Drosophila melanogaster: one gene and its partners. The protein of the gene in region 4 interacts with the protein of the main gene of each other region in a pairwise test. Each region holds a gene or a part of one and is shown on either strand. Other genes may lie near its edges.

Evidence for each region.
Region 1: the proteins of D (region 4) and ind interact in a two-hybrid assay, tested with the Drosophila melanogaster proteins (one study listed by BioGRID).
Region 2: the proteins of D (region 4) and trh interact in a two-hybrid assay, tested with the Drosophila melanogaster proteins (one study listed by BioGRID).
Region 3: the proteins of D (region 4) and otp interact in a two-hybrid assay, tested with the Drosophila melanogaster proteins (2 studies listed by BioGRID).

Annotation. Positions count from the first base shown.
Region 1 is NT_037436.4:15,041,365-15,046,513, forward strand, and holds ind (intermediate neuroblasts defective), read right to left. Parts: upstream 2,561-5,149; 5' UTR 2,501-2,560; coding exon 1,538-2,500; 3' UTR 1,435-1,537; downstream 1-1,434. Other genes in the region: Rpn12R (regulatory particle non-ATPase 12-related), read right to left, coding at 352-1,140.
Region 2 is NT_037436.4:388,506-394,891, reverse strand, and holds the start of trh (trachealess), read left to right. Parts: upstream 1-2,258; 5' UTR 2,259-2,783; exon of another isoform or gene 2,784-2,886; intron 2,887-3,098; 5' UTR 3,099-3,131; coding exon 3,132-3,406; intron 3,407-6,386. UniProt on the Drosophila melanogaster protein: Transcription factor, master regulator of tracheal cell fates in the embryo, necessary for the development of the salivary gland duct, Malpighian tubules and the posterior spiracles.
Region 3 is NT_033778.4:20,899,388-20,905,996, forward strand, and holds the start of otp (orthopedia), read right to left. Parts: upstream 4,028-6,609; 5' UTR 3,399-4,027; intron 2,907-3,398; 5' UTR 2,672-2,906; coding exon 2,641-2,671; intron 1-2,640. UniProt on the Drosophila melanogaster protein: May be involved in the development of the central nervous system.
Region 4 is NT_037436.4:14,173,457-14,180,227, reverse strand, and holds D (dichaete), read left to right. Parts: upstream 1-1,607; 5' UTR 1,608-1,659; intron 1,660-1,735; 5' UTR 1,736-2,889; coding exon 2,890-4,038; 3' UTR 4,039-4,618; downstream 4,619-6,771. UniProt on the Drosophila melanogaster protein: Essential for segmentation and CNS development. May modulate the actions of other transcription factors, including gap and pair-rule proteins.

The DNA of each region.
Region 1 (5,149 bases), 870 kb from region 4:
CTACCTTCCTATGAAACACATATCCTTATCCTAACAACCATCATATTAGACTGCCACTCACTAAGCAGCTCTAACAATCATCCTATGAAAGATTTGCAAATGAGATTTCGCCGGAAAACATTCCCAATCGCATAATTTGTCAAGCCTGTCGACTTAGCGGCCCTCTGAGCAACTCAATTTTTGCACATTTTATGCCAAAAAATAAACGAGTGAAGCCATTGAGATGTGTGAAAAATTAAATCTGACAAATTTCCGGTTCGCTATTTACTGATTTTTGGACGAATGTATAAATTCTGGATATTATTTTCCGGTTGAGGGGATTAGAAGCAAGAATTGATCTAATGAGAAAATTCAAACTATTTTCTCTAGCTCTTGGGCATAGGTGAGATTATGCGTGGCGATGTCCTTGGCAGGAACCTTCTCCATAGGTCTGGTATGAAGTCCAGCATAGTCGTAGTTCCCCTCCTCGTCCAGACACCACTGGCGCTTAGTGGCCAGCTCGAAAAGCTCCTTGGAACCGGGACGAAGGCCTAAACGCTGAGCAGCTAGTTTGGGCGCCATCTTCAGATAGGATTTCTCCATGCAGGATGCGATCTCCTCACGCGCCGTGTTCACCAGGATGTCCATAAAATTCGAATAGATCTCCGAGGGCATAGATTTCTTGGCTTGCAGTATCTTGTTGTATCTGCCCTCCATGTAGTAGTTCTCCAAAGCCAAAACGGGTTGGATGAAGCTATCATGGAGCAGCAAAGCCGTCGGCAAACGTTCCAGTTCGATGTGGAAGTCGGCAAGGCGATTGGTAGCCAACATATAGAGCAGATTTAGGCCCATGAACTTGTACATGTGCTTCGATGATTCCAAGTACTTATCGTAATCATAGTAGTAGGTATTTAACTGGGCCATATATCTCTCGAAGGCAGCATAATCCTTGATGGTGATGCTATGTTCCACGGCGATTTCCAGCATCTCCCGCGATTTGATTAGCTGATCCTTTTGCTTGGAACTCGATGCAGTTTGGATTGTTCCAAAGTTTGACCTCACCAGCTCCAGTTTGAAGCCATCCAGGAGGCGGGAGCAGTGGGTGAGGTTGGGCGCATGTTTGCTCCACTCGTTCTTCAATTCGGTGTACAGATTCGACATGATTACAGCAAAGTCTCGACAACGACTAAATTTTTGGGAATGAAAATTTTGTTCGTTTTGATTGACAGCACAAATTTGGAACGAAATATCGACACTAGCGTTTGGTATTTTTAGGGATATTCCAGGGCTGCTATATATTTATTATATTCATTTAATTGGTTCGTAATTTAAAATTATTTAGTATTTTTTAGTAAAGCCATCTTGGGCCAACTTAGCTGCTAGATGTGAACCCACTTTGCATAAATAAATCATTGCTTTCTATTATGGTTTATCTATCCCAAAAACGTCGTTTTTCATTTTGATTAAAATTTATTTACTTTAACATACTTATGACTGAAAACAGACTAAAATCTACTGTACAATTACATTATTCTTATGGTTTAATAGGTGATTGATTCTACGCCTCAACCTTCAATTCGTGGACTTTGACTTGGGGAGACACTGGAGATGCTTGCGGACTTCCATTGGAGTTGGTGGACAGATTGAAGGTGGGACTTTCGGAGCCGCCCTTTTTCTGCTTGACTCGGCGATTCTGGAACCAGATCTTCACCTGCTTCTCGGAAAGGCGCAATCTATTGGCGATTTCGATGCGACGTAGGCGGGATAGGTAGGCGTTGTGCGAGAATTCTCGCTCGAGCTCCAGCAACTGGGTGCTGGTGAAGGCAGTGCGGATCCTTTTGCTGGAATCGGCATAATCGTTGATCAGCGGCGTGATCTCGACGGGACCTCCCGAAGAGTGGTTCTTCAGTGGTGAGCTATTCGGAGAGCAGGAGGACTCGTGCTTGAAACGCTTTCCTTGAGGTTCATCAAAGTTATTGGTATAATCCAAAGAGGCGGACGATGAAGCGGACGGTGATGTGCAGAAGCTTCCAGGTTCCGGTAAGGGTAATCCGCCCACAACTGGAGATCCGTAGAGGTTGTGTATTGGCGGCAATTGCTGGGAGTTGGGATTGGCCGAGAGCGGTGGCGATGGATAACATCCTTCGTAGTTGCTGAATCCACTGGACTTCCTCTTGCTGGCGAACAGCTGGGCGTATGGATGGTAAAGGGAACCGGGACTCGAACTGACATGTGGATGTTGCTGCAAGGCAGCTGCTGCTGCTGCGGCCGCTGCTGCAGCTGCTGCGTGCTGTTGCTGCTGCTGCTGTTGTTGCTGCTGCTGCTGGATGCCCAAGGAGAAGAGATAGCTGCCCACATAGCTGGCCGGGTAAGGAAGCATGGGTATCGATGGTAACATGGCAGCTGCGGCCACTGCAGCAGCGGCTGTAGGACTTCCTCCTGGCGATCCCAGTTTCTCCTTCTTCTGGCTCAAATTGGGCCTATCGCTGAGTAGGGAATCCATCAAAAATGAACGCGACATCTTGGGTTTCTGGGGTATTTCGTTTTCCAACTGATCTCGAGATGAGCTACTGAACACGATCGCTGACTGTGCGAAACTGTCTGGCTGCTGCGCCCTCACCCGGTTCTTATATACCTCGAGACTCTGTTCTGGGGGTTGGTTTGCCACTTCCACACCCCTGAGGGCCAATTCGAGGGTTGTTTGAGCGAGTGTGTTCGGCCATTTAGTCACCATTTAGCAACAACTGTTGCCATTTACGCTCCGCCCTTGTTCGATCACTCACAATGCCGCAAATGGCAGGTAAGCGATGATTCACTGTATCTGTGCGAAAGGACAATGGCGAACCCTCCTTTGCCATCCTGCCATACATATGTATGTGTGTGTGTGTGGGCTTGGGTGTGTGCGATGGGACTGTATTGGTGTCCCTGTGGAACGAATCAGTCTTTCCAATTCGTATTATCACTCGAGTTTAATTGAAAGTTGAAGAGAGTGCGTAAAAGCTTTTTAAACGGAACTGAATTAGTTCAGCCTAAGCTAGATCAAATTACATTATTGGTATTTCGAACTTTCAATAAAATCATCAAGCAGCTTATTTTATAGACAGTGTTAAAAATGTATTTAATTAAAAATACAAATTTTAATTAATAGTTTTATTAGAAAATCCATATATATTGCTTGCATATATATTTTTTTTTAATTTGCCTAGTAACTTATGTTTGAAAAATAAACAAATGCAACTTCATAAAACTTTAAGTTATGAAGAAGCATCAAAAAAGTCATTATAAGCAATATTATCATATGAGCAGATATTGTATTTATAAGCAGTTCGTTCATTTTCAGGCTTTTACATATTGGCTTTTTTTCATCATTGTTAGGTTTTAACGAATTATTTATATTTTTATGGTAAACAAATCAAATTATATTAAAGTGTTTGTTGTGTAGAAAAAGACAAATAGCATCCATAGCATTCTTGCAAAAATTATTAATATTATAACCATCTGTTTTTACTTACAAGCAAGCGCAATTGTAATTCTTTTTATAGGAAGATCTTTTAAATAGCCAACGAAATTTACACAGTATCTTGTTTGTAATTTATTGCATTACAAGAAAACCTCTTCAGTGACCCTTCACAATCGAATCGATTAATTTTACAACCATTGAAAACTGCAAGCCCTCCAACCGTTTAATGCCAATTTCATGGCAACTTATGGCCCGAAGTGGTGGCTGCCGAAATCTCGAATCGAACCTTTACTTCTACAACTCCCGTTTACCAGACCCTCCAGCACATTGGGTATATGTATATGTATCTCTTCTTTGAGTCCTAGTCCTCGCCTTGGCGTAATTTTATTGATGCATTCTTCTGCTTGTGCAACTACGGCGAACAATGCGGCAAGGATCATCCATTCAGGACGATCCCATTCATGGATGCAGTCGTTTGGTCCTTTGACAAATCCAAGACACGACGCACGTTGCGCCTTTGTTTGTGTGTATTTTGGGCCAGGTCGGGACATTTAAGCCAGACAGTACGTCGCCGAAATGTTGTTCTTGGGCTACATTACACAGAATTATGGCGGCAGTTTTATCATTTGTTAACTGACTTTAGGGATTTACCTATAATTGTCCTTTTCATGGCATTGTGCCGAGGTGCGGCATTGTCGCCCTTCTGCCAGTTGATCGTATGTTAAGTGGCTATAAAACCGATCACAATTGCTGACGTTAATTGTTAATTGTCGACCGACTTCTACGTAGGCGATCCGAATGTTCGCCCACTTTTTAAGGTTTTTAAGTATTTGGCTTCTGCTTAATTGGCGGGCTGTGCAAAAAAAAACAAAAAGGAATCTGGACACTGGTCAATAGCGAAATCGGGAGCAGATGCTGTTGTGTTAATATTTTTGTTGGAATTTCTGCTCTTTGGGCGTTGCGTTGGTCTCGTGCGAGAGCTCCTTTTGACCGCCTTTTAACAATTGTTTGGGCCACTTGAGATTTTCTCCATTGGCCACTTCCGTTTTTTGTCTGCGATTATTGCACGCTCGATTGATTCGGGTTTCCTTTTTATTCACAATTGGATCGTGCTATTGACTTAGACTTCGTCTATGGCTTATAAAGAATACAAATGTTTCGGATTTGGAAATATTCAAATTTTCTTATCTCCAAGATAGCATCGGCTTCGTTCAAGCGAACAATTTCATTTTAATTGTGAACAAAAGTCGCCTAAACGCTGAACAAATGAAAGCATAACGAAATGTTTACTTCCCCTTATTTTTTGATATGGATACAACGCAAAACTAACAGAGTCGGGGAGAACATCAAACCGGATTTGCCCATTAAAGGGGTGTTTCAAAAAAAATTCTGAAAACTGAACCACCACCATAGTGGGTATTCGAAACCCTTATAAATGCGGATTGGGTTAATCATTTATTGACATTAATTGGTTGTGACATTTGCATTTTGACTGATTGTTCTAGTTGCCATTGTTGCTACTTAGCCAAGGGTTTGTTTATCCACTTTCTTGTTTTGTATATTTGTTGATTTAACAAATATGACTTCATTATAGACCATGCATTTTTATATAGCCCCATGCATTCGCTCAGAAAAATTATTATTTACCCCTGAATAATTTACGAATGAGCTTTGAGGTTGAGTCTGGCTTCTCTGCGTGTTACTGAGTCA
Region 2 (6,386 bases), about 14 Mb from region 4:
AATGCTCGGCGTATCCTGGCATCCTGGCTCATTCTCTTATGCACATCACGTGCCGCAGGACGACGGCAAGTGTGCTCCACCTCCATCTCCGGCTCAAGTTTTGTGTACTTTTTAGCACATATTCCCGACTTGAAGCCTCTGTCGATATCCTGACAGGTACATGGTCATATATGTACGAGGTCTTATATAAGGCAATTACATGGCAAATTCGTGACTCGCACTTTTTTTTTATGAGTTTTGCACTTTCTTCGCGGTCGGGTCATTAAATCTTACTTCGTGTTGGGTTCAAGTGAAACAAACAAGTACGAAGCAAAATATGTTTATATATATTTATTATAGTTATATTTGTCTGATTGCTATCCATGGTAGATGGATCAAATGTTTCGTGTTCTTTTTTGCAGGTTACGTGATTTTTTGACCATATACAATATTTTCATCTCATTTCAGTTCCCCAACTCAAGACTCTTCTGCAATCATTGTTATCACACCCACCATTAAGCCCAGTATAGGCTGGCACATTCACAACATTCTTAACTGGGATAGCATTTTCATTACAGCCAAAGGTCAGTCGGCTGGGGCAAGGCCTCATTTTATTTTATTCGCCGCCGCAGGCCAAAGTATTATAGAAGCAAAGAAACAAAGCAGCAGCTGAGCAGCACGCTCTAGGCACATTTGCCATGTTTAGAATTAAGACCTCAGATACTTGAGAAGCTCCAAAAGCCCAAATAACCGCAGAAAACGGCAACCGGCGGACGGGCAGAACCAATTCCGAAGGCAGCCAAGGCAGCAGTCTCAGGTCTCGAGTCCCCAGTTCGAATCTCCAGTCTCGGGTCCAACTCATGTTACTCACGTTCCAAACGAGCTTTTGTCAACTTGTCTAAATGATTTTTGCACACTGTAAACAAGCCAAGACACCGAGACAGACAGACGGACGGACTCAACGACAGACGGACGCTCCGTTGGACGGACAGTTGGAACGGCGACAACATTCAGTATTGACGTTGACCCTGCACGACTGCGATTCAGAAGTGGAGGCTCCGTTTGCTTGGGGATGTGAGTGTGTGCCAAGGATTCGCAACCTGAAGTCCAAGTCGTGTGTGATGGGCCAGGAAGGTAGAACTGGGGAGTTGGGAGTGGGGGAGGACTGGAGGCCAAACGGGCAGCAGCATTCCCCGTGGGAGTCTTTTGTTATTGTTGTGCTGATCTCTTGGATTTTTCGTTTCGATATTGTCGTGTAATCACGAATTTATTTTATTGAAAATCACTTGACAGGTGGCGCCTTATTTAACTAAGTTGTCAGCCCTTCCTCTTCTAAGTCCTCCGTTTCCGCCATCTGGGGAAATGACTATGAGAATGAGAATGGAAATAATGCAATGGAAATAATCATAAATGTTTTGTGGGAACAGGTCAGGTTGGTGGAATGGGCAGATATGGCAGACATGTTCATTGTTCCTTATACAACGAAGTTTTATGGTTACAATTTATAGTGGACATCAATTGTAATGCAATTGCTGAACGAAGAACTAGATAGAACGAACTTATGAACGTCTTTACTAAAATTGATGACTTAGATATGTCTGAATTATAAAGTATTTTATTTGGCGCAAGCCATTATTCAATATACTTTCTCAATATTCCTGACCTATCCTTCAAATTCCCATTTCAAATCCTAAATTTTCCTTTATGTGCTTCAGTCGATTCAGAAATGGGCCTCCCCATAATGGGAGCAAATGACTCCCCCAGTAGACCGTCTTATCTCGCCCTCAACAACATCACACACCATCCACAACACAGAACACAATATCACCGCTGGCGTGTTGAGAGTTGCTCCACCGAATTCTCCAGAGAATGCCCCGAGCGAGGAAGAGAACTCAGGTGTTCACGACTCTCTAGAGAGAGGGAGAGACCCCGAGACCGAGGCGGAGGCAAAACAAGAACATGATATATACAACAATATGATGTGTGGATGCTGTATGCTGGAGAGGACCACACCACATTAGTGAGTGGGTCTGTATCTGTGTGGCGGCGACTCTCCCATACGAAAACCTGCTCCACCACCATTTGCAGCTTGCAATGCGCCGCTCCAAGTTTCGCAGATGCAGCGCAGATGAGATGACGATGATGACGATGCTCTTGAGTTCGGACCAACAACATCCAGCCATCCAACCATCCAACCACCTCCAACCAGCCAGCCAACCGACCAACCGACCAAACGACCGAGGCGACCGACCATGTTTCCTGATGCGAGGCGAGGCGATAGTTTATCGCCAATTTTCGTGCCGTGCAGAGGTGAACGCGGACCAAAAACGTGCGAAAGGAAAAGCACTGCCCAGATGCGAGAGAGCCCAGCTCCGGCTCCCTATCGTACCCGTAGTATCTCGCCTCCGTGTAACCCGAATCCGTACACCCAACGGCTAGCGACACCCCTAATTCAAGGTTGACGTTGTGACTTGGTCGTCCTTCCTCGACGTTCAGCCACCGTTCACTTGTTTTTTGTTTGCATCAGCTCTTTTTTGGCTGCCGTCGGTTCTTTTTGGTAGGGACAAGGATGATTTTGAGGGGCTGAGCTAAGCTGAGCCGAGCCACCTCCCGAAAACTCCCCCCTAAAACGGCCATGCGCGTTAACGGTAAATAATGGCCGCCATCTTGGCCCAAACGGAATGTGCAAATATGTCTATATAATCCGCAAGTGTTTGTGTCTCTGTGAGAGTGCGTGTGACCACATCAAATCAAAGATAAATAGCTGAAAAGCTATCGCCGAAAATAAATAGTCTCGCATCAGGGTGGGTCAAGTTCCATAGTAGGACGAATGAGAGATCAATCGCAGGGGCGGAAAGAATTCTATCGGCATAACTTTAATCCAATTGATTTGTTTAAAATTTAATTAAAAAAAAAAAAAAAAAAAAAAAAACTATTAAAAGTCACAAGAATTAACAGAACAGAATTTTGTTCCAATTATCTTATTACATTTTTAGAACGATACTTTATTGGCCAGACCATACTGCCATCATATAGATATATTAATGCAAAGCTTTCTTTCCACACCTACGATTCCGTGTCTATGAAAACCGGACTCACCCTAATAAACCTGCGTGTAGTCATAATATATAGATAGAGAGGAACTCCTAGAAATGGAGCATCACGGCAGTGGGTTCGTGGCTTCGCCATGGGCCGCCGTTCTGGGACACCACTCGATGGCCTCCGATGCCGGGTTCGCCGCTGCGGCTGCTGCGGCGCATGTCCAGAACCACTCGATGCACCATCCTATACACTCGCATCACCACCACCACTCGCACTCGCATCCACACCCACATCCGCACTCGCATCCGCACCACCATCCGCACCTGGGAACCGCCGGAGGGATGCCGATGGATCTGCATGTGCCGCAGGGATTCCCCTACTACAGGTAAATTAAACGAAACCAGAACCACTTCACACTGCACCAATATTTCCCTTCCATTCGCACACTCTATTGGTTTCTCTTTCGCTGGAGTTTGCATGCAAATTTTGGGGGCGTTGCCAATGGCGGAAAAGTGTCCACCTGATATCCAATGGGCTGAGATGCGGAGATGCTGAGACAATTGATGGAACTGCCCACTAACAGGGAGAAATTATTCCACTTCCTTTTTGGGGTGGAAGTTAGGCGATTGCTCGCTCATAACTGAGGTTCTAGGTAAAAAAAAATTGTGACTTAAAGGAACTGACAAGGTACACCTCCTTAATCAGTTTTTATTCGTATGTGAAAATATGTCTCACAATCCTGAAATATCCATTTTTGACCCCAGCATGTCTGACACCTTGTCACCTCATACCCACCACGAAGTGTGCCCCCCCCCCAAAAGTAGCTTTCGCCAAAAAAAAAAATTAAATGTCCGAAAATTAAAATTTTTCAGTTATGAAGTGCAGGCAGAGCACTACAGAGGTGCCAACATCGATGAAACTCATAATTAAACTAATTGAATTTACGTGACAATAACACTTTCGACACTCACTCGCCAGGCCACCGAAAAGCGAGCGATGAACGCCTCACGAAGTCGGGCGATTGTCACGAGATAAGTTGGGCAGCTCCCTCCATCTTTCACTTTTCCCACTCCCAGTACATAAGCCTCCTCCGTAATGCATGGTTATTTTCAATATCGAAAAATGAAATCGGCATCAAAGAACATTTCGCCGCAATAGCCATGAAGCAGAAGTGGCAATCCGGGCTCTGTCTTAAGCCGAGACCTCTTTTAGACATTCCCACAACAATATTGCAATGGCGATGTAATTCATGAACTCTGATTGGTGGCCCCGCCGAAAGAGTCGAGTTTGTAGTTAAGATTGAGGATTGAGGCTCGAGGAGTTCCAGATGCGGGCACAGCAGCTTTGACTACCAGTGTCTGGGGTTTTGGGACTTGGGATGGCTAGAGATGGGCCACAGGGCCTTTTGAATTGATAGTCCGGAGCGAAAGATTTAATAAATATGCTACGTTAGAAGGATATGGAGACATTCGAGAAAACCAGAATAGCTTAAATATTAAAAGTATTGTAGTATAGTATTGTATAGCTGTGCCAAGGGTCGTGAGTCTCGTGACTCACTTTCTTGCCTATCGGTAAGCTGCTCACGCACATCTCTAAGGCACACATAGGCCTTCATGTTCCGAACTTAAGCTTCAACTGGGACTGCAACTTTAACTCCGACTCTGAACTCCCGACTCCGCCACTCCAACTTCTCGGCTCACACAATCAGCGTCTATCAGCATTTTTCAATTATATCGGAATAGCGTTATCCGTGGCTGGATCGCGTCAGAACGCATAATTACTATAATCACCTGAGTTATTACCTTGGCGAATATTGACGAAGACGCGAAGAGAGGGCCGCGAAGTAATATTAAAAGCACAACCAGCGCGGCGGGAAAAGGGTTCCCTGCTGAAATCTAAACTGTGATTGTTTCCCCTCGCCAACCTGCGATGGGCTGCCTCTGATGACTCTGCCTCAATTTCATTTTGGTCTTTTTCCCATTATTTTCATTTTATTTTTCACTTTTTTATTTTTGCTTATGCCTCAATTCGTTAAAGTTACATTACACTGGGAAAAATGGATGGCCACGGGGGAGGGGCCACGATAACTAAAAACGAGTGAGACAAAAAGAGTTTTGACCTAACTGGAAAATTGCTGGGACGTTTGTTTTTCATTACAGCCGACAACTTTGTTGCTTTGTATATTGGAAGGGGAATTTCCAGGGGGAATTTCCAGCGCCTTCACGGGCGGCAAAGGGGGATGAAAAACCCCAATACGGGCCAGGAGCACGAACCGCATTTTCATTGCACAAAGCGATCTCCACACACAATTTTCCATGGTCAGCAAAGAGGATTCGAGCTCTTTGCGGTTTTCGAGGCCAAGTCCCCCTTTCAGCCATCGCCCCTCGATAGCCCCCTCCGTATGGCTAAGACCCCATCCCAGACAACGGTAACACCGCAAAATGTGCAGTGAAAAACCATCATTTCAACAATTTATATTTCGAACGTGATTGGTGGACTTGGATACCCAGATAGCTCCCAGGGAGGGGATTTAGGGGGTACCAGGGTTAGTAGCACTGCAAGACGGCCATTAAGAAATTGCTGTAAAGCATAAAGAGCAAAATGAAACCGAACAAAGAGCCAGGCAACAAAAAAGCAACAAAGCACAGTGCGAGAAAATGAAATAAAATGCAGCAGATTATGATTGCGATTATGTTGGCTCCGTCCGGGGATTTGGCGGGGATATGGCGGGACAGACATATAAACTTGATGATGGGAATGAACATATGAGAAATGGCGAACAGACATTAAAAGCGGGAGATCCAAGTGGCAACCTCAGCAAATGGATTTGGGAAACAAACGAAACAAGAAGGGGGATATAAGTATTATAGTATTGCTATATTGCTAATAAGATTTTGGTTAAATTCTGGAGTTACACCAAGAAACTTTAAGCCATTTTTATCAGAACGTTAAGACCAACAAAATACTTTCCCAAAAATTCCAATTAGAACGCGTCTTTATCAAAGCATCTGCCTACAAAGAAAGGCCGCAGATTCCAGTTCAATCAGTAGTTTCCATCAGAATATATATATTCCCTCCAATAAGGAGATGAAAATCCAGGGATTCGCAAAGGTGTTGCCCAGGCCCCACCCAAAATGCATTACTGGCTACACTTGTTCGGTGGCTCAGTGGTTCGGAGGTTCCCAGGCGTCATCCTCGGTCCTCTCCTGCTGTCCAACGTCACATTCAATTAAATTATGCAAATGAGGCGCAACACTTGAGCAGGACGAACTGCTCGAACCGAAATTGACTTTCAGCCGGCGGGTTCTGCCCCTCGCCAGTCAATCCCCTTCAATTTCTCCCAACACTCCACCCACTCGCACCGC
Region 3 (6,609 bases), on a different chromosome or scaffold from region 4:
TTTTTCACCTCGCCTTTTACAGTTGTAACACATAAATATTAAAAAGCAGCAGCCCTAACTGTTCATCGTGTATGCAGATCAAGATGACGCAGTAGTCTCATTCAGGGCTAAAGTTTCTGCATTCTGAGTAAGCTATTAGCTGAACCTATTTGAGTTTTTATTAGAATGGAAGTTAAGACTTTACAGAAATATATTCTAGTAACCTATTTAACCACTTGTCTTACTTATATTAAAGTTTTAACTGGATGCAAAGTGTGTTTATACTTTCAAAAATTTAATTTTGATTTAAATTAAATTCACGCCTAAATCCATTACTAATTTTCCCATCGAACATAAGAAAGCTGGCAAACATTTTCCAAAATCTGCGTGTTAACCGCAAAACTGGCATAAAAACCTATCCATGTTCCCAAATCATTAGGACGCGTACTAATAGGGCATAATTTTGTTATCTATCATCGTAATTTAGTTTCGGTCCTCCATTTGCTACCTGGCCAAAATTGCGATAGTGTTAATACGAAACTGTAAACATTGCAGTGGCAACACAGATACACAGGACGCAGATACGTAGATTTACATCTGGCCCGAAGCGAACATTTTAGTTGGTCCGGCGAGAAAGAGGAGCGAAACGAAATGAAAACCGCACAAAGCGATTAATTAATTAAAATTGGCAAACATGAATTTATCGCGCAAGCAATTTGCACAATTTGCGCAAATCAGTTTGCCTGTTTTTGGGAGCGAACGACGCGATTTCTCCCGCAAAATATATGGACCTGGCCGGAATGGCCAGCCGAATGGCCAGAAACGGACTTTCATGGCCGAGCACTTGCATCCAGATTCGCCGTCAGTTGCATGTGCATTCAGCAATGTGCATAATTATTGAAATTTGGAAATTGTGCGGTTTTTAGCAGGACATAGGCTTTGGCCTTTGGGCCTCGAGTTGGCAAACTACGATGCAGATCGCTCCGATTCGGTTTGGTTTGAAATGGAATGGAATGGCATGGCATGGCATGGCATGGCATGGAATCTGGGCTGCTCCAACAACTAACCGCAACTGGGAACAGAATCCGCAGCAACCGCAAAACATTTCAATGCAAAGCGGATATGGCAGTGGGGGGTTAAGCGGTGTTCAGCGGGGTTAAGCACACATATTTCACTAGCCTAGGCCACCGCAAAAATGCCGAACGCACAAAGCGAAGCACGCGCAGATATTTCGTGGATGCAACGGACGGGTGGGGGTAAACCTGAAGGGGGTCTGTGCAAATTACAAATGCAATCATGAAATTAATTTAATTAATGCGAGGCTCACGAAAAAAGCGCCCAAACGAAACGCCATTCGAGCTCCTTTCGCTGCATGCAAATTAAGCATTAGTAGGGGAGAGACAATACGAATCCGGGGAAAGTTCTGCCATTTCTTTTGCATGCAAATTGCTCTTAATTGTAAAGGGGTGGTTAGGGGGGCATCCACTTTTGCCCCTCTCGGCCACGCACCCAGTATGCAAATGTTTTTTGGCCTCTCTGTTGTGCGAAACTCGGAAAAAGGCTCACGAAATTTATTATGGCAGACTCCAGCACTGCGGGCAGGATTTGTCCAAAGGATTCCGCACTGCGATTCATTGAAATTTATAGTTCTTCGTGGGCAAATGGAGCTGGCTAAAGTTGAAGCCGGCGAAAACTTTAAAAGCCAACTTTGGCAGTCGCAATCCATGGCAGATAGCAAACCGTCAGATCAGTTTCGCTTGCTAGCCCTTAATTAAACACCCATCTTCAATGGCAACTATGGACATTACGCATACGCCGCGTGCACCGAGCGGCGACAATTGGCGCGTGAAAAATGGCAATAAATTAATAAAAGTAATTAATGGCAACGCTTCGAAGGACGCAAGGATGCTGGCAATAAAAATTGAATATAAACGCGAGCCATAACTCATCCATGGCTGCTGCAGTTGCAGTTGCAAATGCACTTGCAAACTGTATTTTCTGGTAGTGTTGGACGGCTAACAACAAATTGATTGCCAAAATTGAAAGTGCTTGAATCGTTGATCAACAGTGTGGTAAAAATAATTTATTCACCTGCACACACGCACATACATATGTACATATGTGTATTCGGAATTATTAATATATTAATATGAGGACACAAGTACAGTTTGATAATTATGTGCGTGCGCCGGGTGAATGTGTGAATGTAATTCACAATTTGCGGCATATTTAAAAGAGCAATTATATCAATTAACACAAACACACCCACCCACACTCGATTCGGAATGGGCATAGGCATATGGGAATGGGAATCGGAGAAGGTTTGCCGAGTTAGTTAAATACACAACTTAATTATTGCTAAATGCACGCGACACCTGGCGCCATCTGGTTAGACGTCTCAATTATAGGCCATTTAGCAGACATGGGAGATGCGATGGCAATCGCCAGATCGGAAGTACGACTAACTACCCCTCCGATCTTTTGTGGGTGTGCTCAAGAAATTAGTTTAATTATGGCCAGGCGGATCGTATGCCATGGATTAATACACACATTATTATACATTAGCGCAATTCACTTGGCGATCTTAATTGCAACATTATACGCAGCTCCCGCCCGCAGCCCGCACTTAAAACGCTATCGAGGATTGGGGGCGTAACTTACCCAGCACATTGGCCCCAAGATTGTTCAGCATGTTTGCCGAGAAATTGCGGATCGACAGAGTCGACAGTTTGTCGCTGTTTCTGATTGCTGCTCCGAAAGTTAGGATTCGGGATCCAATTTGATTGAATCGGGAATCGATATCGACTGGTGGTGGCGGAATCCCAATGGGAGTTCCTGCTCGTATACTCGTCTATCACAGAACGTTGGAGTTGAAGTTCACCTGCGGTGCAAATTACATCTCAATTGTTCGGTGGAAATGGGTGTGGCTGCAAGTAAACAGATTTGTTATTTTTGGATGGGTGGCTTCTGCTCAACGCAAATATAAACATACATAGGTGACTTTGTGCTTTTTTGGAAGTACTTGTTAATTTTCAATACTAAAAGTTTTTAAATTGACAAGAGAAAATGGTCATTAACTTGTTTAGCAAAGTTTTTGTTTATGTTTATAGTATACAATCATATGCAATAAAACTGCTTACAATGTATCAAGATTTCTGGAATCATAAATGAATGTTTGATTTTTGTCTTGGCAAAACATTTAAGTATACTAATTGCTCGTGTGTTGTGAATATTTGGCCCAGCCCTCTCTTGAACTTTGACCCCTGTCAAATGTCCAGCTATTTGGGTAATTTAACTATTGTGCGACTAACCAGAAAACTAAATCCGTTTCACTTTCCTTAACCGCAGAAACTTCTGCCGAAGTTCGATTGTGTGGGCATTTGCATTGAGTTTTATTGCTCATTTGGCCAAGGACTCACCTGGCTCCTCCTATCGCTCGTCCTTTTTCCGCCTCCTTGCTTTTTGTGTATGCCACAGGGTTATGGGCTGGGGTCAGAGTTCAGGCCAGCAGACGATCAAATTGCCATAGTAAAATTAATTAAATGCCTTGACCATAAAAAAGCCAAAGAAATTAAATCCAAGTCACTTGGCCGGAAGTTGAAAAGTTTCCTTAGCTCCCACACACACACACACACACGCGCACAGCTGGCACACACACACAATCGCACTCACAGACACGCAGACATGCACAGCTTAGGGACACGCAATGAAACGGAAGTCGAATCGTTTATTGATGAACTGTTTGACCAACTGACAGCCGGACACTGTCCGGCGGAGGACACGGCTTGCTTCCACCTTCGGGTGTGGTCACTCGTCCTTGTTTTCTACTGTTTAATTGATAGCATTTTTACACTTCGGGCACATTTTCACTTAGTTATTCCTTGGCACTTCCCAGTTAGATCAATTCGGTTAATGGTCTCTGCCAGTGCGACGGCTTTCTAGGCACTAGCAAACGGAAACGGATCGAATTGTTTCGGATCGCACTATTGTATCGTATGGGAGCTGTACGCCGTATACGTAGCGCTGCTCGCTTGCATTTGAGGGCAGTGCGAAAAAATCAAAGCGAATTGACTACGAAACCTGATAACTTCGACAACAACGACTGCGCACTGGCGCCGCATTCAATCGCCACCCCCTCGCACAATTGACGGTTAAGTCAAGCGTTATCTCTGCCAGCGGGCTTATCTCTCGCATTGATTTGCAAAAATCGCAAAGAGCACACACCGTGCCAGTGCCCCGGGCGGGCGAGGAAAGGAGACAGCTAGCTGAGCCCACAGCCATCTTGCCGTCGAGCCAAGCATGCTGACTCGTTCGCGCTTGCCCTGCCAAGTGGTTGCTAGAGCGGGTCGGCTATACTCGCTGTGCGTAGGCCAGACCACGCCCTCAATGCAGACCAACGAATGAGGGAACTCGGGAGCTTGTGGCCCCGAACGATAGCACTTTTTGGCGCCCTCGGCGATAACAGGTCCTGCCGCCTATCGATAGGCGGGCTATCATCGATGCCGAAACAGACCTCGATTCCCCTCGAAAAACTTCAACTATACTCCACAGCTGGTCGCGTTGGCAACCGGCGCTTGGGCCACAGTTATTGCTGAAAGTCCACTCCTCCCAAAAATGCGCCTTGAATTCTTACTCAGCGTTGTTGATGCCACGTGTCAGCTTTCAGCCTCACCTGTTGTCGTTTATTAGTTTTTGTTTCCGTTTTTTTTTTTTGCCCGTCTTTTTGCTGGAGGGGAAGTACCTCCGACATTTGGCGGAATTTTATAATATTTTGCATGCTGCACAAACGTTGAATTAGCCAGACAACGGAATGCCGGGCGAAATAAGAGTTTGTCATGGCAACCGCAATTCAAAGGATTTCCACCCCACTTCCTGCGCCCAGTTCAAAGTCCTCCCACCGCCCCTCAAAAGTCTGCAAATTATGTTGGCCTTCTCCCTCCGACAAATACATACAGCTAAATCGGGGGCGTTAATTAAAAACTCTAGGTAGCAATTAAAACCACAAGAAGAATGCAAAAAATCGCAGCAGTTGTAGTTTGTTTTGCAATGAGCATAATTCAAGGTTCACACTTGTGCGGGGTGACAAACGTTCTAAAATAATTTAAAAAATTTAATAAGTGGCGTAATAAATTTAGATTGATAATTGTACACAACCTATTAAGTCTTGTATTTCACAAACTTGCATACTAACGTGTGAAATACTTATAACAATCCCACACAAATGTCGAAAACATCGAACAGAAATTTTTCTGTTAGTGTATTATAAAGTAAACAAGCCGAATAAATCGTGATAACATCTCAATTCGTTGTTGGGCTCACTTATTAGAGCATATGCATCACTTTTCATTTTTTTTCCTTTTCTCACATGAGGTACATAAAAAAACTTCGAGTGTGTTAATTAATCAAAGGCGTTATCGGCAGCAAAAAGAAAAATAAATTTATGGGAAATGTGCGGCGTAGACTTGTTGAATTTCGCCATATTAGCCAAGGATTAATCATCTAAGGAGTCTCAATTAGACCGCATTTTGAATGCCTGGCATGAGCATGTCGTAAATCACTTTGGCCAAATCCGGGCAGCAGATAGTGACTGTGACCAGGACAGCTGCGAAATCCTTGAGTTGCCGGGACCGGCATACCAAGAAGCATGGCGGAAAAAAAAAGCGCAGCTCAAATGCAAAGGATTCCGAATCCTTCGGCATGCACGACGTTCTCTTTTGACTTTGTTTGGCAATCGTTTAAGCCCGGAAAGTCGATGATGGAGATTTCAGTGTGGAGGGCTATGTGTGGAGAACCAGAACAAGTACGTGCAGTCAAACAGATTTCCAGTTAGCAGCTCACAACAATTCGCTTTTAAGCCAGCGCATAAATCAACCTCAAAAGATATCCCCAATTTTTCGGGTCAGGGGGATGCGGCGGGCGAAAGCGTTAAATTTCGAGGGGGTAAAAGTTTTTTTTTCTCGCCTCCGCGGCATTTTATTGAAAGGATAATCGATTGCAGCAAAAATGCTGGCAAGGCATTAAAGGATTCGACTTTGGGCAACTTTAAAAACTTAACCCAAGGCGATGTCGACGAACTGAGCGATGTGAAATGCTGCTCTTTGCGGTCAATTTAATTGAATGATGAATTGCGTCGGACACTTGGGAGGTGGGGTTCGGATGCCGCAGAAAATTCTTCAGTTGTCACGGGTACTTGTAGCCGAAGGATGAGATGAGTGGAAAGAGATGGGACACTTGGGGCGGCGTTGGAAGGAGCCAGAGAAGGGGCTACGACAAAGACGAATACGCATAATCAGTCAAAATTTATGACAAGCTCGAACCCGAAAGTCAGCTTAAGCATTTAATTGGCCCAGGTCCAGTTGGCCGTCCCCCCAGGACAGTCCTAATTAGCATGGGCATTCATGTACATGATGGAGTCCATTTTTTGTCGCCTCCCACTACTCCACGCTCCGCTTGCTCCTAGGCTGCCATGTGTTCCCGGAACCCAAAGAGATTTTCACTGTTTCTCGACTCTGACTGATGAGTCCGCTGGTGAGCTCGGGTGTAATTTGTCTAGGCCAAAAAAGGGATTCTGGCCTCCTTGACGGGCACAGAGCGAGTGGAGTTCAAAGTTTGCTCCTCCAAAAAAAAAAC
Region 4 (6,771 bases):
AACCTCATTTGCCTTTTATATTCGTTTTAATTTTTTCATTATCATTGAATCCATTCTGGACATTGTCAAGTCTTACATTTGCGCGATTGTTCCTGAATTTAATTAAAAAAGAATGAATGACAAAAATTATATTTGCGGAATACAACAAATAAAAATGAAACCAGCTCCCCAAATGACAATTGAATGAAAACAACAACAATCAACAATCGAAAACAACAACAATGCAGGAACGAACAATAAAACGCGAGTCTTTCTCTTTCACCGCGGAGAATCGGTGAATTTCGAATGGGTTAAGCGGTGAGGGTGATTTCTGGCGACAGGATAATGGTTAATATTGTATTCGAATAATAGTAATCACGGCACAACTTGACTCATCTCTCACCTGCCATTATGCGATCAAATTAAATTTACATTTATTTAATTTTCAACTGCACTCTGATACTGTATTTATACTGATAGATTTTTATCAGATAAATATCTGATAAATAAAATGTTTTTCAGTTTGCACGGCACCATAACAAAGAAAGAAAATCTATTATTAGCTTAAGTAATTATTAAATTAGACAGAAAACATATTTAGAGTTTATTTATCCAACTACGAGTATTAGAAGTTTATCATGAATTATTTTACAACTTCCACTAATTTGAACAATATTCTTAAGACAATTTTGATTGTCACTATTCCGCAAAAATGAAATTAAAAATGCATCAGCTAGCTTATTTATTTATTGAATTTGATAGCAAAACACATAAAGAGTATATGTGCTAATAATTTAAAACGTTTATCCTTATTTGTTTTACTCTTTACACTTATTTTAACTGGATTCTAAAAGAATATTTATTTATATAAAATAAGGAATTCATCATAAATTGTATCACAAATGTAACAATTATTTATGCCGCATGTGGGTGGGGAGCGATTTTAGGAAACAGGATCCTGCATTCATCCTACACTGTGTGCTATTATCACTCACTTAGTGTCCTCGTCTGCTAAGTGAAATGCTGAAAACTCAGAAAGAAAAATGTGACGCGGACAAAACTTTTTCCATTACACAACGTACAACAGTTTTTGCTTTCATTATTATTTGAGATTCGTTGTTGTTGCCGTTCTACGTTGTCCTTTCTTCCTTTTTTGGGGAAAGCAGACACAACGGAAACGTTGCGAACGCTGAAAGCTTTTTATGCTCTTACGCTATGGGCCAGGTATAAGAGCTTTGTAAATGCAATTGGAAATTGCACTAAGCTTTGGTGCATCGTTGTGTGGGTGCGTGCATGAGCAGGAGAAAGGCAAAGAGAAGGGTGGGATAAAAGCTCAAAGGGGAGAATGGTTTTACTTTTGGGGTTATGGAGTTTTAAAAAATATAATAGAATATTGCAACCTTATTCCTGAAAGAAACATTTTTATTAAAACAACGGCTCTTGGGGTCAAGATGTTGTTTAATGAAGCAATGTTAAACTCTTACAATCTTTGCATCACAAAAGCCATAAATTATGTCTTCGTTTCGAAAGAGAGGTAAATATGTGTGTTAACAAGAATTTGAAAACTTATTATTATTATTTGGGAAACTCTTTTAGTTACGAATGAAAAAAACATTAGTTTGCGGTAGATTTAATTGTCAATTATTCGATTGCCCTTGTCCTTTCAATCAACATTAAAAGGTTTGTTTTCTTTTGCTACTGCTTATTTGGTAAACCAAAAAGAAAAGCTGGCTAAAACATCTTTTCTATAATAAAGCACAGAGGACCGTTCTACATGCATCTGGGTGAAGATTTGCCTCACTTCCACTGGCTCCTTTGTGGGCTTCTTTCTATGGCCAAATAAGTAAATAATTGCAGTAATATCCTTTCTGGAGCGGCCAGGAAGAAGTGGCAAAAAGGGAACGGAAAAGAATGGAGAAGAATGGCGAGCGAAATGAAAGAATGCGAGAATGGAGAGCGGGGCAAGAGAATGGAAAGCGTGTTTCCATGTCCTTTTCACAAACTAAAAAGTCCTTTCACACACACACATAGTACTGACTACAGAGTACACATAGAGAACGGTATATAGCAGAACACAGACACCCACAATGGACAAAAATTCACACCAAAGACCCATTGTGATTGGCCCAACAAACACGCACACACATACGCGGGGAGAGAGTTGTGTTCTCTCCCTCTCTCGTTCTAACTGCATAGGAGATGCGGAAGTGCAACGCCGCCGTGCAAACAATAACGGAAATTGTGTGCCCACTGTGCGAAAATCAATGTGCTCCCGCGCTCGCCCTGGCTCTCTTTCTCTCTCTCGCTCCGTACTTTGAGCTCCCCCTGCCCCACAGGATTGGGGTCGCTAAATCGAATAACACGAAGCACAGCCGAACGAGAGCTGCCTGGCTTTTGGCTCTATTGAGCTCCTCTATTGAACACACCCCTCAATGGGCGAACAACTATAACCGATATAAAGGAGCCAATGGAACAAAGCCAGTGGAACAATGGGCCGCAAAACGAAAGAGAGAAGACGCTATGTGTGAGTGAGAGCGCGACGACGGCGCAGCTCTCTCCCAGGTAAGAAGCCCAGCCTCTATCCCGCTCGCACCCACGTGGCTTACGTAAAGGTAATGGTGCGAGGGTTGCTCGCACTTCGTGCTCAACTCTCTTCCGAGAGAAACGGGATTTGGCTGCAGTCGTGTAGGCCGCACTGGAACACTACTGAAATCAGTCACAAAAAAGCAGTCGATCCGAGCAGAAGCAAAGCAAGAGCAAAGCAGAAGCAAAAGCAAGACAGTAATTGACATAGAGACAAAGAAAAAATCTGAGAAATCACAGTTGAACCACAGACATATTGTGTTCTAGAAAGTGAAGTGTTGATCTTGAAAGAAGCAAAAGTTAAACAAAGTGTTCAAAATAGCTGGAATGGCCACCTTATCGACACACCCCAATTACGGTTTCCATTTGGGTCAGGCCCAAGGCTTGGAGGACTACGCACCGCAAAGTCAGCTCCAGCTGAGTCCCGGCATGGACATGGATATCAAGCGTGTGCTGCACTACTCCCAAAGCCTGGCAGCCATGGGCGGATCGCCCAATGGACCCGCCGGCCAGGGTGTGAACGGATCCTCGGGCATGGGTCACCACATGTCCAGTCACATGACCCCGCACCACATGCACCAGGCGGTCTCCGCCCAACAGACCTTGTCGCCCAACAGTTCCATCGGATCCGCCGGCAGTCTGGGTAGCCAGAGCAGCCTGGGCAGCAATGGCAGTGGTCTCAACTCCAGTTCGGGTCACCAGTCCGCCGGCATGCACAGTTTGGCCACATCGCCGGGACAAGAGGGTCACATCAAGCGTCCAATGAACGCGTTCATGGTCTGGTCCCGCCTGCAGCGTCGTCAGATCGCCAAGGATAACCCCAAGATGCACAACTCTGAGATCTCCAAGCGCCTGGGTGCCGAGTGGAAGTTGCTGGCCGAGTCGGAGAAACGACCATTCATCGATGAGGCCAAGCGCTTGAGGGCCCTGCACATGAAGGAGCACCCGGACTACAAGTACCGGCCACGCCGCAAGCCCAAGAACCCACTGACCGCTGGACCCCAGGGTGGACTGCAGATGCAGGCCGGCGGCATGGGTCAACAGAAGTTGGGAGCTGGACCGGGAGCTGGAGCCGGAGGCTACAATCCATTCCATCAACTACCGCCATACTTTGCACCCTCACACCATCTGGATCAGGGTTATCCAGTGCCGTACTTCGGTGGATTTGACCCACTGGCTCTATCGAAATTGCATCAATCCCAGGCAGCGGCGGCGGCGGCGGTCAACAATCAGGGTCAGCAGCAAGGACAAGCCCCGCCCCAATTGCCGCCCACCTCGCTGAGCAGCTTCTACTCGGGCATTTATTCCGGCATCTCGGCACCTTCGCTGTACGCCGCACACTCCGCCAATGCCGCCGGACTCTACCCATCCTCGTCCACCTCCTCGCCGGGATCTTCGCCCGGAACCATCACGCCAAATGGTATGGATGGTTCCATGGACAGTGCCCTGAGGCGACCGGTTCCGGTGCTCTATTAGAGTCGAGTTTTAGGTTAGAGTACAGAGTAGAGTACAATTGTTGACGCATTCCCAAAGTGATCCACTGGTTTTAAATCTTCAAAAGCTCTAAGTAAGCCAATCCTCCAAACCACTCCGCTTAATTCTAGTACAATCTTCGCGCACTTCAGATCTAGAGAGTAAGGAGGGAACACACAAAACATTCCTAGCCAATACACAAACTATAAATTATAATTTATTTAGCGCACTCACTATACCGCAAAGAAAATTAAAAAAGATAAACCTAATTGTAAATTAATTTTATTTAGTTTTAAGCATCGAGCGAGCGCCTCCTTCTTGTTGTTTTTTTTCGCATCAGCACCTACCTAAAATGTAGCTTATAGTTTTAATTGTCTAACCCTCTCAAATTGTAAATATCCCTGCAACTATTCGTTAAAGTCTCAGTGTAGCCCCAAATGCGAGGAAAGAACGTACATCAATGTATTATTGTATTATTAATTGTATTGTAAAAGTTATCATCTAAGCGAATAATGGTTCATGAAGGCCAACACAAAACAAAGACATTTAAAAGTGAATAAAAACAAAATGATTTGAGAAAACCAAATTTGAAAACCTGTTTATTCTATTTCAAATAATTTACAGCTTGGAAGATGTGAAACTGGCAATTGGTTTTGAAATGAATGATGATGATTCTCTACCAAATGTAATCACATTAAAGACATAGGTAGAGTTGTTGTGACTGGAATCAGACGAAGTTATCATATATATATATATACCGGGAAAAAGCTGAAAAACAAAAAAGATAATTTTAAGCCTTTAATAGAATGCATTTCCCATTTTCTTAGCCAGCATACCACATTTTACAGTTATGTTATAAATTTACTTTAAACATATGCCCAAGCTATATGTGACTTAAATTTTTCAGCTGATTATATTTTATACTCCATAATTGGATTATCATATTTAAATTCGAATTTGTGTCTGTATTTTTCATAACCTTTAAGATTATACAGGGTCGTGCTCTGAGCATGCATCAAAATTATCAACGAAATTAATAACGAATTTGAATATTCATAAGACCATTAACATAATATTCTCAACTGGATTGAGTGAGTCATTCGGATAAAGCTTAAAAACAATCATTTCATCATCACCTAATAATGGGTATGAATTTTTCTGTTTTGTGAGTAGTATTCGTTTAATATCAAAGTCCTATCCCGTTTCTGATCAAATTAACCTTGTCTCTGGGTGTCTTTACTATTATTTCGCTCATTTCTGTGTGAGTTTTTGTTGGTTAGTTTACACCCGCTGGGAAGAGATGAAAAAACTAAATTTGATTTGCCATTATACAACTATTTGCCGTTGTGTATTAATTTCTATTGATTAATGCGCTGTTTATTTTGCGCCTCCAAGACAGAATTCGATAGTTTGAACAAAAGGTCGTCTCTTCGCTCTTTGGATGGGGGTCACATTGTGTTTTTTTTTCGGGATCAACGGGGGGCCTGGGCCCTCTAAGACCTCACTATTCGGAGTGTAACTGAATACCCTGGCGAAAGAAATCAACGCGTGTTTTTCCGTTTTGATTTTTAGCTTCTTTTCGTAATAATAATAAGAATAATTGCGGTCATTAATAAATCCACTTGCATTGTCTTCCCCCGAACTCTGACTCTTCGATTGCCGTTTTCAAGTCTTTGGGAGTCTATTCAATGCCCTCTGCCCCGCTCCCCTTCGTTTTCCACGTTGTATGTCAAATGTGTTAAAATATCAAATATTGATTATTGTTGTTATTATGCGTATTGTTGATATTGGTCTTTTTTCCATGCCTTGTTTCTCCATTCTCCGTTTGCTCTGCAAACAAATATTTACCCAGCATTGACGTGATATTGAATAATTATATAAAAATTGGATTCTTCTGGCTTAGCTCTTTGGAACATTACTTTGTGTGCACAGCGGTAAAGGCTTCCAAAGGGTTCAACAATACATTTGTATTGTAAGGAAAGAGGTTTTTATAGTATTTTGATTGGATAACTATTTTTCAAATCTAGAAACTATTACAGATTTTGTAAATAATAAATATCAATTAAAAGAACGGCATCCGCATTTTAAAAATTGCATTTTAATTTGACATCCTTTAGATAATAGCGGCTCAAGAATTCGCGCTGCTGAAGTAACATATTGTATTTTATTATTCTACTTTATTACATTATATTTCGTAACTACTTTGAATCTTACAAGTTAAATTTTATGCCATTTTTCGCATCATAACATTCTGATCATAAAACTAGTTACAACCATAATCAGCCATTAAAACAATCTATGATCAAATATCGGATGTTGCCTTTGCCGAACCCAAACGGAAGTGATTAACTTTCGCTAAACGCCCAATCCATCCATCCGACTAAGCCAAGCTTAAAACATAAGCCCGCTCACGCCTTCCTGATCCATAGTTTAAACATTTCATCCAAAAAAAATGATGCACGAATAATTGAAATTCCATTTCAACTCGTTGGGTTTTTAAGGATTGTCGAGAACGTTTTACGACCCATCTCGCCTACGCCTCCTACTCCCAAAAGCCACGCCTTTCGTCCCATTTGGTCACGTCTGTATACAAATATAATTTGCAGCCTCCCGGTTGCTTCGATTTTTTTACGACTTTATGACCGGGGATTAGCGTCCGGTCCGCAGAAAGGAGTGTGCGAAATGTCGCGAGATTTTTATGCTTCTAGCGCTGTCTGTTTGGGTTGTTGTTGCTCT